2 linked regions of the Tribolium castaneum genome follow. The protein of the gene in region 2 purifies or fractionates together with the protein of the main gene of each other region. This does not show direct contact. Links are inferred from orthologs where the notes say so. Each region holds a gene or a part of one and is shown on either strand. Other genes may lie near its edges.

Region 1 (7,752 bases), about 2.1 Mb from region 2:
GCGATTTTTTTACATATAGTTACTATTTAGCTTTACAAAAAGTTTTATTTTACATTTAGAGAGATTTATTTTATATTGCTGAGTTTTAAACTGTTGGTGTTGTTAGTGTTGCAAATATATTACACTTTACAGGACACAATTTCAATTTTGGCGTAGTCAGGCAAAAGCTAAAAGTGCCCACCTGGCACTTCCGTGGCCCTGACCGGTCCAGGTGCTAACATACAGTAAATTTACTGTACTTTATTAAGTTATAATATTTCATTAGACCCTACATTTTTTAATTTTGAACTATCATGCGTTCTTTTTTTTATTATTCGTTCATTTGTCGCATTTAGCTTCGAAAAACCGAACATGACGTTTAATTGAGTGGGAAAGTGAGATTTGCTTAAGGTTCTATACAGTCAAAATTGAAAAAAAAAACATTTTGCTATTCCAATTTATTAGCAAAGTTCCTATGTTACGCCACTGCTTCTTCCACATCAAGCTTGAGAGCAATTTATTGGGCTCCCCAGGTGTGTACTTTTGGCTTTTGGACACCTCTGAAACAACTTTTTTATGTATTATAAAAGACTGAATGCTAGAATAACTGTTTTAATCCCATCCAGTTAATACGTAAATATTTTATCTAATTATGGTATTTGCTTTGGTAATTGTTTGTCAGTTCATTGTGCGCTAAACTTGAAGTTGTTCCAGAAATTTATTTCTAAGATTAGAACTGTGTTGATCAATAAACTGACCCAGGATTATTTGTTGTAAATGAGGACATACAAGGCGGGCCTTGTATCCAGTCACATCCAGCAAGTGTTCCCACTTGAAGCATTAAAATAAAAATCTGATAGTCACGATATTGAGAACAATGCTCCTTGTGGAGACATTTTTTGTACGTGACCATACCCTGTAATTCAATTGTTTAACCATGTTGTGGACCTTGAAATGATTGCAAGTATTAAATTGGTTTAAGTACAAAGTATACAGGTCACAGCATAAATAAAGGAACAAAATTGGTGCTGCTGAAATTTTTGCAATTAATTATGTTGTGCATTTGCAGCAGTAACAACAGTTGTTTTTAAGCTGTATTGATGGAGTTGTTTTCGTGTGAATTCGATGTCACATACCGTGATGTTTAGGTTTTATTTTGTAGTGTTTGTTACAAGTTTTTTAGCTGATCCATCTTGTGAATCACAATTGATGTTATAAGCTCATATTTGTACTATATTATTTCGTTTATTGCATAAGTATAGTTTGTATCTGGCAATTACCAAATTATATGCATTTTACTTGACGAAAAATATATAGCCGTTAATTTACTAAGTCTTGGTTTTATTTCTCCCAAACACAAAACCAGCACATACATGTAAATTACAAGCTAATTAAAACTGAATTAAAGCCACTGAGAGTTAGCCAGGGGGCCATTGGAGCTGTCTGCCGGACAAAACGTGCACGTGAATATGATACACAGACTGGGCCCCAATTGGGCCGTCATTGATCACAATACGAAAACCATTTTTCAAATTCCGTTTTTGGGCGATTTTCCGAGCGACGATTAGCAAGTGTCCTAGAAGAGGTCCATCGTTGTCTTCAGCCTTGGACAGCTGAGGGATAGGCTTGCGCGGAATCACCAAGAAATGGACGGGGGCTTGCGGGTTTATGTCGTCAAATGCAACGCACTAAAATGGCATTTTTACCTCAAAAAATCCAACAGTAGCTGACACCTACCAAGTTGTCTTCGTAAATAAAATTGCAAGGGATTTCTTTACGTAATATTTTCCCAAAAATTGTATCTCCCTCCGGCAAAGCCGTTTGGGCCAACTGCACTTCATTCGCCATTTTTCCGACAACCGGTGTCGGTAAGAAAATTACCTACATTATCGGAAAAATTTTCAAATTTTTGAAATTCTAACGCAAATCAACCAGAATTAATAAATTAAACTGTACCACTGCAGTCCTCTAAAACGGAAAGCTTAATTCCTTATTCCTCAATACTGTCCTTGATTTTTTCCATTTAATAAATCAGTATTTAAGAACTGATGACTGGTAGAGGTTAAGTCTCAAAAGACAAAAAAACACAAATTATGAAAGAAAGGGGTAAAACGATTTATTGAAACATAACCAGGAACACATATTTAACACAGAAAAGCTTGAGTTTCGAACAATACTTCTAAAATTAATTGGTACCGGTAGAGCCAAATCCGCCTTCTCCACGGGCCGTTTCACTGAGTTCCTGTAATTTAATCTAAGAAAACGTTTTTTCTGCCAAAAAACTTACTTGAACTTCCTCGATATCGGGGTAATAGATCCGCTCACAAATTAGCTGTGCAATGCGGTCGCCACTCTTGACTTCAAAGGCAGTATCTGAATGGTTGAATAGGACCACCTTGAGGACCCCCCTGTAGTCCTCATCCACGACCCCGGCTAAATTTCGCATCGTTATCACGCCCTCAACTAAAAAAACCAACTTACCGCCAACATCGATGAAATTCTTGACTGCTAGACCCGACCTAGGGGCGATCCGTCCGTAGCACCCTTCCGGGAGCTGGATTTTGATGCCGGTGTCCACGAGGGCCTTACCTCGGGCTGGGACCACGCAGTCGAAAGCACTCTTCAGATCATAACCGGCGGCTTTAACTGAACCTTTGGTCGGAGGGTAGGCCTCGGGGACCACTTTGGTGTATTTCAAGACAAGACTAGATGTAGGCATTTTCTTTTCTTCGGATTCTTGAGGGGTTGTTGAGTGGACGAAAGCACGAGACGGTTTGACGAAAAAGGCGCGAATTCGGCCCGCTAGCACTTCTTTGGCGCCAATTCTTAGCATCTGGCGCACAGCTACCGGCATCTTCCGCAAAAAGGCAGAAAAATTCGAAAAAAAGCGGCAAAGACGCGCTTCAAGGTGAGCATTTGTTTTTGCAAATTTGAGATAACGCCGAGGGACTGCAGGCTGATTTTGCCAATTTTACTTCAAACTCCTAACCTCACTTGTACGAAACGTATTTAAATAAATCCGTTATTAATCCCTTATTACACAATAGTTATTTAATACTTTGATTTAAGCACTTACAACTGACCAGTTACAGAAATTCACCTCACATGAAATAGGTTAGCAAAATTGCTTATTGGGTTATTGCGCAATATTTTTCCACTCCAAATTGGGATAAAATGCATTGTTTCAATCAGGTACGGATAAAAATAAAACAATTATGTGTATTATATACTTTTATTGGTTATTATGAACTCACATGCTCTTAACAACCTCAGTGAAAAATGGGTAAATTATTACAAATATTGGACCTATAAGTACAATGACTAATAAAATGCCTCTATACTATAATAAAATTGGAATGAAGGCACTATAAAACAGAAAAGTCATCAAAGTTAAAATATGGCTATAAATAAATTAGTTTAAATGCACCCCAAAAGATCTACCCTGGACTCCAACCGATTATCCGGACATAATCAACTTAACAAACTCTTCATAGTTAACATTTCCCTGTGAATCCTCTTGCCCTTGCAGCAGCTGCTCAACCTCGTCATCAGTCAGTTTCTCCCCAAGGGTGGTAAGCAGGTGTCGCAACTCCGCTGAACTAATGTACCCATTTCCGTCCTTATCGAAGTGGCGAAGCCCCTCAATAAAATCATCAGCCGTGTCGGCGCTCCTTGACTTAGAAATCTGTTGGTAGATGGGCAAGAAAACTTCGAAAGAAACCCTCTCGTCGGGCTTATGTTGATGGGTGTATTTTTTCACGTCGGACTCTGTGGGGTTTTGCCCCAAGGCCCTTAGCGCGTCCCCGATTTGCGACACGTGGATTTTGCCATCGCCCCTGTTGTCGAACAGTTGGAAGGCCTCTTGGAACTCTAAAATAGGCACAAATTTAGCTTTGCCAAGCTCACCACTAATTACCTTCGACTGAAGTTAGGGTTAGTTTACTGGGGGGTTCGTAAAGGTACATTGTGGGTTAATGCGGAGACTGCTGATGAACATCTGCGTTTTACTAAATGGGTTTGATGAAATCGTGGTCACTTTCAAAACAGTACCATATAAGGATGAAATTGGCAGTATGAATCATCGGTGTTGGGGGCTGGTTCATGCCCTACTATTTTTTGGTTTTGTGCGTTATTTGCATGTTTACTGGGGTTGAAAATTAAATGGAAGTGAGTGCACATGGTAAAAATGAGTTTATTTGAAAAAACTGTTGGGGAAATAGAGCGAAACTGTACAAATAAGACCGTGATATGTGTGAGGAAGAATGTAAGGCGGGGCTACATAGCCTAGTTTTGCACTTCTCTTTACTTACCGGCCATCTGGTCCTCTGTGTAGTTTGCCTGCAATAAAGCAAAGTGCTCGTTAATGACTTACACCACCAATACGCTGTTTCACAGCGAAATTTATTATTTTAAGTGAAATAACTTACCATGTTTGATTTGCATACACTGAATAACTGTCAAACGATACCAGTTGAATGCAATGATAAAACAGGCCACCAACAATACACCACGGCGCTCACTTTGAATTCTGGAATTTGGATTGATGCAACCGCGACAATTTTGAAATATCACCGATTTAATTAAATTTATGCAAAAAATGGTTTAGCTTCTTTGGCGTTCGTTTCATGGACATCCGGAAGCGCTCGAAATGTCGAAATGATGTGACTAAACCACATTTTCAAAGTAATTAAATCCATCATAAAGATACCTACAAGGTGAACAATATATGTACTGAATTCATGATCAGCCACGTGAACGAGCTGAAATGTCTTATGAAAGTATCGTAAAGTGCAATGTACACCTGAAAAAACGAACCTGAAGCGATCTGCTGAATAAAGATAAGTGTCGCATAATTTTGAATAATTACGCGAACCGCTCGAGTCTTGGACTGACGTCTCGTTGCTGATTGCAATGCTAATCATTTACAATAATTTACATTAAGCGTGTAAATATAGTTATTTTCGATAATTAGATTAACTGAATCGAAACCAAGGCAAAGTTCTCCAAAAACAATGTCAGATCGATGCTTAATTGGACAGGTTAATTGGGTAAAATTGGTAGCGGTCTATTTTAGGGAAGAATCGGTATGTCATGTGCGCTATTATGCAAATTAAATTTCCTGTGTATAGTAGCAATTGCCGCGTCGAAGTAAGCCATGGTCTTATGACCTTGATATTTCAATCAGAGCTGGAGGAAACGCTTAGAATGTGATCGTTTTCCCACGAAGGAGGAGGCGCCTGCATAATTCAAACGGTGCTCCACATATGAAACCTTTCTGTCCCACCTTTTTAATGTCTCTGAGTGCTTTTTTATTTCTACTCAATAAAATATTGGTTTCTTATTTTTATTTCTTTTAAAACAGCTATTTTTAATGAGGAGAGCGCTAACGTAAGTATTTATAAATATTTGCATCTTGAACCAAATACGAGCAAAATAAAAAATAAATTACTTAACTAGCTTTAATCAGGTAAGTACTGGATCTACTGGATTATTCAAAAATATACATTTCAGGCAGGGTGTAACATTTCGCACCTTATACACATGGTAATGTATGTATATTATTCAAGATTTTGACAATGCTACAAATTGTGGTAAATAATTTATTTAAAACTAAAATTGAAAATTTAACTGGCAAATTAAATAAACTATAATAAAAATAAACTATAATTTTATATTTAATAAAACAAAGGTGCGGGAAAATGAGTAATAAAAATAGAAAAATAAAATTCGACCCGCCTTATCGATGCAGATTGCAGTTTGATAAAAACGAGATCAACAAATTAAAAGGTGCATAAATTTGTATATCTATGAACCTGTTATGTAATTTTCTTCCTTTGGAATCGCCGTGTGCAGGAGTTTGCTTTATTATGCGGTTTAAATTTTAATTTGTGGTCGTTTGCGCCCATCCCTTCGCACGCCCTATTAAACAGGTGTGTGAGATATTTATGTAAAATGCATACGCACGTATAAAATTCGCGATCAAATGTCAGCAAACAGATTCTCATTATGACATGATAAAATCATTACAGCCGGCAGTGGCTTTAAAAGCGGAGTCAAGTTTAACCGGATAATAAAACGTAACAATCGCCATAACAGAGAACAAAATTTGAAAGACAAATAAAAGAAAAGGCAATGTCGGTGTCCTTTTCGCGGCCCTGCAGTCGAAGAAAGTCACTGACTGTTGCACTTTGCGAGTGTTGTAAATTATTCTTGCTGCAATATCGGTAGGAAATCGGTTTGGTTAGCCTTGTTTGGCAGGAGCCCACTCAGAAGGAGTAACTCCTAATGAAGGCGCCTTTTGTCTGGAATTTTACTTATATTGTATGGACTGGCGGATAAAATATGTGGGAAAAAAACTTGTTATAATGTAGAAAGTATTTCAGGGTCAGGATTTTTAATTATAAAGATTTGGCCATTATCAGAGCTGGGCCAAGCCCTTAACTTTTTTATTTTGTTTACAATGTTAATTTGCGACCGGTGCAAATTAAGATATTATCAATCTTGCGTTAGAAATTACCGAATTTTGGTAATTTTGCCCAGAAGCACGTCATTGACTTTGCTCTTGAACGGGGCACCTGTGCTACGACTGCCCACAATTAGTTTACAAAAGCCGGAATGATTTATGGGTTGTTTGAAATTGTTTTGATCCGGTATTAAGTTGTTTTAAATTAAATTAACAGAAGTAAAAGTGATTTTAAAAAGTACGTTAAATTCCTACGCCCATAGTTGATCTAATAGTACAATCAGCGGAGACAGTTCAGGGTCGTACTTATGCTTTTCCAATTAACCGGTAGCAAATTGCACAGGTTATTATTGCAGTCGAAAAGATTTACTTTAATTTGAATATTATCTGATTGATTTAGCACCGTCCAAAAATAATAATTTGTAAAAAGTGGACAGAATGTACTATTTATCTCAATTAGGATAATTTAGAGCTAATTGATGAATGATTAATGGATTCAGAATTTTATGGTTTAGAGATACCACTAACAAGGAACACCTGAAACTAGATACTGTCATTAAGTTATCGGCAATAATAATTTATCAGAATTTGTGTTTCTATCAATGTTAAGTAGCTGCTATACCAATAAAATTTAACATATTCTGACAAATTTCTTAATATTTATGTATGTTTATAGCGTTTATTGCAACATAATATCTGATTTTAGATTGCTGTTATTAGTGATTAAGCGGTGTTAAGATGATGGTTCTATAAACAATATTCTATTAAGAAATTGTGAGAGCGGTTATTAAGTTTTAAAGTGCTTTGAAGAGAAAGCTATATTTAGAAAAAATCAATATTATACGTAGAAGAGAGCATTATGGAAAAAAAGAAATAAAATTTCTACAAAATACTCTACTGAGAGAAATAAGCGAGATTAAAATGTTCGAAAAGTGAAACGTTTTAGAAACTTTTTATTTTGCAAAATAAATTCTTTCACAAATTCTAACGACACATTAACGACTTCTGAATGTTTCAAATTTCGGCATAAAATCACACATATTATATAAAATATTTTTAAATAATGAGGCAAAACCTGTTATAATTACTAACGGTGAATTTAATTTCGTAAGTAATTTGTAAAGAGACAATTTCACATTTTTGTCTAATTCAGTCAGTTGTACCTACACGTTTTTCCTACAGAACTCTTTTGAAATTATGACAATGTGAACTGATAGATTGCTAGAATACTAGAATTAATATAATAGTTTGATTTACATTAAAATTTCATTTAATTATTAACGTCTATTCGCATGCTTGTTTCCTCTGCT
Region 2 (8,174 bases):
TGTCGTGTAAGTCAAGATTTTCTATAGTTAATCTTGTAATTTCGTGTTGCATAAAAGCTTCGCTTTGTGTTTGTGGCGTGTTGGTGAGATTTGCGGATAAAAGTCGTTGTTGGCGTTCATTATCTTCCCTTAATTTTTCAATCTCTAGCTTGTATTCCCGTTCGTGAGCTTTGTATTTTGATTTCTCGTCTTGTAATTCCAATTCGAGTTGCTTATTGATTGTTTTTTGGGTTTCGTAAGCCAGTGCTAACTCTCCGTCTTCATTAATGTACGCTCCTGCAAACACTATTATGTACAACAATTTTTTAAATAAACAAAACTCACCTAATCGTGCATTTGAGTTCACGAGTGATTTCATGTTGTTAGTCTGGTCGGCCAAGACACTCTTGAGTTGGATTATTTCCTCAGTTTTTCGTTCCAGTTCGCTGTGTAATATTTGCATCTGTTCGTGTATTTTCGAACTGCCAGTTCCTTCAATAATGCTGTTTTGCAGTTCCATCAGTTGCGCCTTTAGGTTGCTGTTAACTAGTTCAAGTTCGGAGATTTTAATGGAATCTCGTGCCGCGTTTTCAGCCTTTTCGGTTCGTGGAGACATGTCCAACTCGTCTAGGCGTTTCTGCATTCGCAGTTTTTCACGCTCAACTTCGGCAAGTTTGTGCTGGAGTTTAAGGACCAAACCGACGTCAACTTTATTGTTTTCGGATTCATGTTTGGTGTCACTGCTACTTGTACTTGGTGTTTGACTATCTACATTTCCTAGAGGAGTAAAATAATAGATAATGAGATAAGATAAGAAACGTGTCAATTTACCTTCACATTTCCAGTCGATATTCTCAAGTTTTTCTCTTTGTGACGACGAAGTTGTGGTCGATCTCACGGAACCGTAACCGTGGTCTTCAGCAATATCGCTGTTGATAACAAAACTGTCAATGCTGCTAAGATCGCTCACATTTCTTCGGTGGGAACTTTGGTTTTGGCTCTGATTGTTCAACTGCTTCTCTAGTTCTTCGCAGTGTTGTTCCAAGCAATGGTACTCTTGTAAAAGCTTCTGGTAGGCTTCCCTATCACTATCTTGCTCATTCAAAATCAACATTTTCTCCTCTTCGAGTCGCACTTTGAGATTTTCTTCGGCTCCCTTCTGGTTCATTTTAACGATCTCGTTGATATTGTCTAGCTCTTTACGCAATTTGTTTGTTTCCTGCGTCCATAAATCACGCTGCTTTTGCGTTTCTTGTCGATATTTCTCATGTTCGTTAATCAAGTCAATTTTTTCGTCCCGTTCCAACTTAAGATCCTCCTTCAATTTATCAATGACTTTGTCTTTCTCAATCAGACGAGCGTTCAAGTTCTTAATTTCAGCCTCATTCGCTTTGAACGCCGTCAATTTATTCCTGAAAAAAAGCATTAGTAATAGTTCGACCCTAATACAAAAATCATTACTTCAGCTCGTTAACTCCGGCCTTATAAGTCATCAATTCCGCGTTTTGTTTCGTAATTTCGTCAATCTTTTGCTGCAAACTGATGATCTTGTTCTCCAAGCCTTTGTTAAGTTTCTTGACGTGTTCGATTGATCTTGCTTCGATTCTGAGTTTCTTGTATAATCTTCTAGCCAAAAAGCGGCGAATCGCAGCTTGGCATATGACGATTTTCCGCTTGTAAGCCAGGGCACTTCTCCGTGCTAAATACCCTCTTACATATCGCTGTATTACCAGAGCTTTGGCGTTGTACCGTAATTGCATGTACCGCCGTCTCGCTAAATACCCTCTGGCATACCTTTGAATGCCAGTCACACAGGCCTTCAGTCTTTGATATTGGACACGTTTCACCCATCCTCGAACATATCTCTGCAAAGTCTTTGCGGCTTTCTCGCGCCGCAAATTTTCGGCCAGTTTTCGGGCCAAATAACCCCGTCCATACCGTTGTATATTGATAGTGCAGCGCTTGATTCGGAGGTACTTTTTCCTCCAAATGAACGCCCGGATTGTTTTTTGCATCATGATGCAACAGGCTTTGAGTTTATCGGCTCTTAATTTCTCCAAATAGGCGACTTGTCCGGCCCGGAAAAAAATCTTAGTTTTCCCGAATTGAAACATATCCTTGTTTTTAATATACTGGTTCAGTATATTCTGGCAAGTGAGCTGCATGTCGTTTCTTTTGATATCTTTAAACTTGCACAAGACTCGGTACCGGTAGAAGAAATCAACGTAAGTCCACCGACTCGGAAACCCGGCTGCCGAAATCCTGATCGTCTCCAACACGCCACAAGCTCGCAGTTGTTGCACCGCCCGTTTCGGGTTATACTCAAACGGTTTTTTCGAATCGTTTGGCTTAATACACCGGACGTAATGCGGGGTTGTGGCGTTCAACGTGGTCATTAGCATATTAAGCGAGTCTCTAAACTGGGACCCCACCGATTTCTTGTGGGTTTTTTGCGAGGTTGGGGCAGGTTTGGCCGAGATCACTTTGAGTTTGGCTCCCGGAACGGCCAATTTTTGAGAATCGTCGCCGAAAAGCCGGCGGACTAGATCGTTTTTGCTCCTTTTCACCACCGAGATTTGCTCCTCGATTACGGTGTCGCGGTTTTTCTCCAGAAAACCGTTGCTTTCGTATTGGACTTTATCGGCAAAGTGATTGATGGTGAAGGCAGAAGTGCCGAAACGCGCCTTGCCGAAGTGGGAATACTTTGCGCACTTTGAGTACAGTTTCTCCGTCCAGGAACTGTCAGTACCTCGCGGCATCTGATTTTTTTATTAGTTTGTCTGGAATTTTTTAAACAACTTACCCGACACTCCTCGTCTAGCAAATCTAAAATCCCTAATTTTGTTTCGATGAGGTCGATGCAGGGTTGGTTGTCGTAGAAATCAATCATTTTCCATTCAATTCCTTCTTTAATGTATTCCTCCTGCTCCAGTTTAAACACGTGGAGGTTGAATTGTTGTTGGAGTTTTTCGTTGGCGTAATTGATACAAAATTGTTCAAAGGAATTGGTTTCGAAGGTTTCGAAACCGTAGATATCGAGGACTCCGATAAATTTATGTCTAGGAATGTCGGATTCTAAAGCTTTGTTTATAACTAACACGATCCAGTTGAACAATTCTGCATAAATGTGTTTTGCTAAAGCATCACGGGCAGCTTGCGCGTCTTCGACGGACATTGGTTTCAGGAAGACCTCTCTCATAGAGACGATTTTTCGGGTACAGAGCCACTGCTGCATTTCTTTTGAATCGATCTCGAGTAATTCCGCTAAGATTTTCAAATGTGAGTCAGTGCCCTACATCAGATTTGATTTTACATAATGCAAGTTTGCGGGAAGTGCTCACCAGTATGCTACAACCCTCCTGGTCTTGTTCGTTTTCCGTGGAAATGATCGATTCAACAAACTTGATATTTCCCAAATGCAAGACGGAGGCTATAATTTTAAACATATCGTCCAGATCCGATTTCTTAAACCCTAAAAGATTCAACGCATAGAGCGTCTCTTCGAAGGTTTGTAAATCGTCGACTCCGTCCACATTTGGACTTTCTCCTTGATTTAAATAATAAAAACTATCTTGGTGAGCGAGATGCAAGTGTGGAAATTGGTCTCTCGCGGAACACAATTGGTAGAAAATATGGTAATTCCGTTCATCGGGAGCCTGAAAGACGACTCGCGATTTTTCCAAGAGGTACGTTCTCATCGACGCTCCGCTAATATGAAATTGCTTATTAAACTGGAGTTCTATAAACTTTCCAAATCGCGAACTGTTATCGTTTCTTGTAGTTTTCGCGTTTCCGATGGCCTATGATTCAAAATGTAAATAACTAGGTTACCACTGTGTTTATCTTTATTACTTCCATGATAGGACTACTAGCTAGGACTTTTTTTTCGACTTGGGTTTCGGTCGCACTTCCTCCTACAGTCGCGAAGTATCTCATTGCGTATTTCGCGGAAACCGTTTTACCGGCTCCGCTTTCTCCTGATACGATTATGCTTTGGTCCCTTTGCTCTCTTTCTAGTTTCGTGTACGCTTCTTCGGCTACGGCGAATATGTGAGGATCTAGGTCACCCATCGCTTGACCTCTATACGTTTGTATGGTGTCGACGTCTAAAAGACACGATGATTGTGTGTGAAACGGTTTTTGCACACAACAGTGAACTGGTGAATTTTGGCCCAAAGACCATGAAAATGTGCCAGCGAGTTGCAATCACCATTGCGGTTAAATTATTCAGACCCAGAGGTCGTCCCGATGTGCTAAATTACTGACATTATACGCGATGGTAGTTTATAATTTATTGGCGTGAAATGGCTTTAAATTTCTTGTGCGAAAAGTTGTCTTGACTCTTGTACGAGACAAAGTGTGATTACAAGTATTTCAAAAATTAACAGGTCAAAGGTGGAGTTGATGAACTGCCATAGAGTCTTAGACCTTTAATGATCCTGCTTGTAAAACAGTCTGAAGAGAGAGTTGTGGCCTTTGGTTCCGCTTTTTTAAATTTAAATCAAACTTGTGACCTTTTTAAAATAATTAATCATCTTAGCAATAAAAATTAACGACATATACGGCCGTGCTTCTGCATACATTATTTTATTTCTAATTTAAATAAAAAAGTAAAGGAAATAAAGTAAACTGCAACAATAGTGCGAGCCAAGACGATTTAATAAATTATTCTTTCTTGTACAACCATGTCTCGTTTATTTTCATTTTTAAATCATTGCTTGTTGGAAGAAATAAGTGGGTATGATACAATATAGTATGGATTACTTGCATAAATTTGTGCACATGCAATACAAGTTATGCATGGCATATGCCAGGCTATAATTTTACTATCCTTGAAAGGCATCGAAAATGCCATCAATCTCTCATGGTTTTTACTAGTTCTGTTTAACAAACAAAATTTTGTAGCAAATTATTACTAACGTTGTTTTAATATCGTTGCGGTGTGTGCTGTTCCATTATTTTTATGTGTAGCTAAAAGATTAAATATCGTCTTACGATATGCACGATTTTTCTAATTTTGCGGTTATTTACTTACTCTCGTGTTTGCACAACATGAGTCATATTATTTATCGCAAATTGTAGGTGTTATCGCGGTGATAATAGCATGATATAAACAATGAGCGTTCGCTAATACCTTGACAATTTTAATTTCGTTATAAAACCGGTATTAAAGTCTATTACTGCAAAATGATTACAGGATGTGAGTAACTAATTTTGGTTCCCACCAGCATTTGACCGTTGGTGTAGTCCTAAATTATACCAATCTAATTGTAAATAGGAATAATCAAAAGATACAAGAAAAACAGATATAATGCCTCTGGTACACCTTAAAGTTTTAATTCCTGTTTCCCACAATTCATCGAGTGAATGTTTCACGAGTCTCAACTTTCAAATTTTTCGTAACATTTTAAGATTCGCGATATAGAAAGTAAAATCCCTATGAATACAATGGACCAAATTACAGAGTCTAGACGTTTTTGTGACATTTTATTTCTTTTAATTTTAATTGCTAATAATTTATTTTGAAGCGGTGGATTTTTACAGGGCGAATTTTTGTCACCTAATAGATAGTTTAAAATGGAGAAAGTCGACGACTTTTTTTAACTTTTGGCAGTTAGGTTGGTAGAAATAGTAAAAATGTGAAAAAATTAGTTCAAAGCTCGCAATTTAATATCGTTTTCACATGCATCGGCATGGATCGTTATAAAAAATTGTTTATTTTAATTAGTACGGTAAGTACGCTGTTTTTTATTCTACTTAATTTCCCAACCTTGATTTTAGTTCACGTGGGTGCAGCCAGTTTACTTTTAATAATAATTCTTTTACTCACTGACAGCGTATCTGATTTTACCTTTAGCCTTTTGGGTTTTAATAGTAGGACGAATAAATACAACTCGTACTAGGTACACGTAGGTTTTTCGATTTAAATTTTAATCAGTTATTTTTTCAAATTGCGTGAATTTGAAGCGACAAAATAAGTCATGCTCTGAATTGTAGTTTGTAGTATTCTTGCGGTTTCTCTGAAGACTCGCAACTTTGTAAATTGTTTGGGTTTTTCCTTCAAAACAAAGGAAACGGTCTTATTAGAATGTCACTTAAGACGTGAGAGGCCTTCTTGTAGTCACTGTTTCATAAGCTCGCAAATAGAAAAAGCATTGTTTGTTTTAATTAGTTGTTGTAATATAACGTCCAAACAAACCCCCACATTGCAGACGTAAAAATCAATATCAACAAACACTCGGTCAATATGCCTTCAGTTATGTGGGTCAATTTTCAATGAAAATAAATTAATAATAAAATTGTGTATGCAACATTGTTTATTTTAAAGTAGCCGTTAAAATCAACAAAGAATCACGGTATATTTATTTTTGTAGTAAACAGAAACTGTTTTTGTAGGTTTGCAAAAATACTGGCACAGATTCGCTAAATTCCATTTAATTAATAAATTCATTACGTATTCACGGACAGAAAAAATCCATTCATGCATATTTGTGTCAGGCAATTAGCACTTTTCCTCGTAACATAACGGTTTTAACAACTCACCATAAATAGGAAGATCATCGTAGGGATTAATTGCCACCAAAACAATCCCACAATAGGTGTAAATGTATCGATTTTGGCAGAACCGTACTTGTAAATTGTAAAGTACGGCGGGCTCGTGTAAGTAGGAGAGGGATGTAAGGTCATTTTCCCCGACTAAAATTGAAGGGTTCCTCAGACAGGGTAAATCCGATTCTGATTTGATCGTAAGGGTTTTCTTTTCGTTGTTTTCTGTTACTACTTCAAGTGACTTTTTGTTCGTTTTGTAGTCTTCTTCAAGTTCAGCGCCTTCCCATACTTTTTCAGGGTGAGGTATCCATACCTTGGCACCCTGAAATTAACACAATAATGTGATGATAAGCTCTAGACAAGATAAATGTTTATGAAGGAATGATTATCGAATGAATCATGGCAAAAATGGGTCTTTGACATCGAAACGGATGCTATCAATCGCCACTGTCAAGCCCTACATTTCGTTATTCCGCCGCAAATTGCATGAAAATGTTCCGTTCGAGCGACAATAATTCAATGTTCTTGAATGCTAAATTGGAAAAACAAACGAGATTACGTTTTACGGAATTTGTTTGAACTTTAGACGGCCAAGTTTGAGGACATAACGGTATTGTAACGAAATGTGTGCTTTCGTCATTGGAAATGTATGAAAGTAAAAAAATGTTTACCAGAGATAACTACAAAAGTGTGACCAAGCCTTAAATTTGCTATCGAGCAAAATAGATATTGCAAAAATAAAAAAGTTCCGTACATGGAAGTGATTTTTACAGTGTTCAACTTTCGATCATGATTTTTATAAAAGTCGCCGCACTCCCAACTGTTCAAAATAACAATATAACCAGTTGTTGGAAGTAATAGGTCGTACTTTCACTCTCAGATTCAGTTTGGTTAATTGGATTGTTATATAGTGCAGTCGGGAAAAAATTAAAAGCTTCATTTGCATGTTCAGTGAGACGAAAATGGCAACGGCAACATTTGTGGCATACCACACACAGGAAACAATAAATTTATGATCTTTTGTTTTTTGTAACAGGAGCAGAATTAATTTTTGTTACGTATTTTCATAATAAATCAATAGAAAATCGGTAACACCTTTTATGCTAAACCAAGGTTAATCGTAACTTAATCTCTAATTTATGAATTGGCGTAATGTTACTTTAGTAAATAAAAAAAAATTGGTGTATTTGCATCCCACGCCTAAATATCATATGTCCATTCAAGCGAAATTGTTTGGATTGTTTTTTCAATGATTATTACCTAAATTTATGGCACCAATTAATTTTCATAATACGCCGTATCCGTTATTGTTTCCACTACATGAATATGTTTCTGATTATTCAAATTAGAAACTAAAATTTGGGTATCTTCTGACTATGGGAAAACGATTTAATTTATCACATTATCATAAGCACTGCGGAAATCAACCCACTCTGACACAAATATTCAAATCCACTTAATTTTTGTCTAATCGCATAGCATAATTTTGATTTATTTTTGCAGTAACCAATAATAAACTTCACCGAAATGTCTCTAGATCCATTAAATTGGTGATAAAAAATCGAATTAAAGTTTAATTAATTTTTCGGAGCGTTAAAAGAGTGTTTACGATGTGAAGAAGACGTAATTATAACTAACGATGATCA

Evidence for each region. The genes of interacting proteins can lie anywhere in the genome.
Region 1: the proteins of didum (region 2) and Mlc-c purify together in Drosophila melanogaster (affinity purification with mass spectrometry; 3 studies listed by BioGRID, with this or other methods). This does not show direct contact. The link is inferred for Tribolium castaneum from reciprocal best matches to the Drosophila melanogaster genes didum and Mlc-c.

The regions. Positions count from the first base shown.
Region 1 is NC_087396.1:11,012,001-11,019,752, forward strand, and holds Mlc-c (myosin-2 essential light chain), read right to left. Parts: upstream 4,290-7,752; intron 3,987-4,289; 5' UTR 3,945-3,986; coding exon 3,896-3,944; intron 3,850-3,895; coding exon 3,437-3,849; 3' UTR 3,193-3,436; downstream 1-3,192. Other genes in the region: adenosine 5'-monophosphoramidase HINT1, read right to left, coding at 1,398-1,667, 1,717-1,827; dUTPase (deoxyuridine 5'-triphosphate nucleotidohydrolase), read right to left, coding at 2,165-2,221, 2,267-2,412, 2,461-2,833.
Region 2 is NC_087396.1:13,117,548-13,125,721, reverse strand, and holds part of didum (unconventional myosin-Va), read right to left. Parts: intron 6,851-8,174; coding exon 6,523-6,850; intron 4,086-6,522; coding exon 3,832-4,085; intron 3,780-3,831; coding exon 3,321-3,779; intron 3,272-3,320; coding exon 2,783-3,271; intron 2,739-2,782; coding exon 1,441-2,738; intron 1,392-1,440; coding exon 811-1,391; intron 757-810; coding exon 325-756; intron 277-324; coding exon 1-276.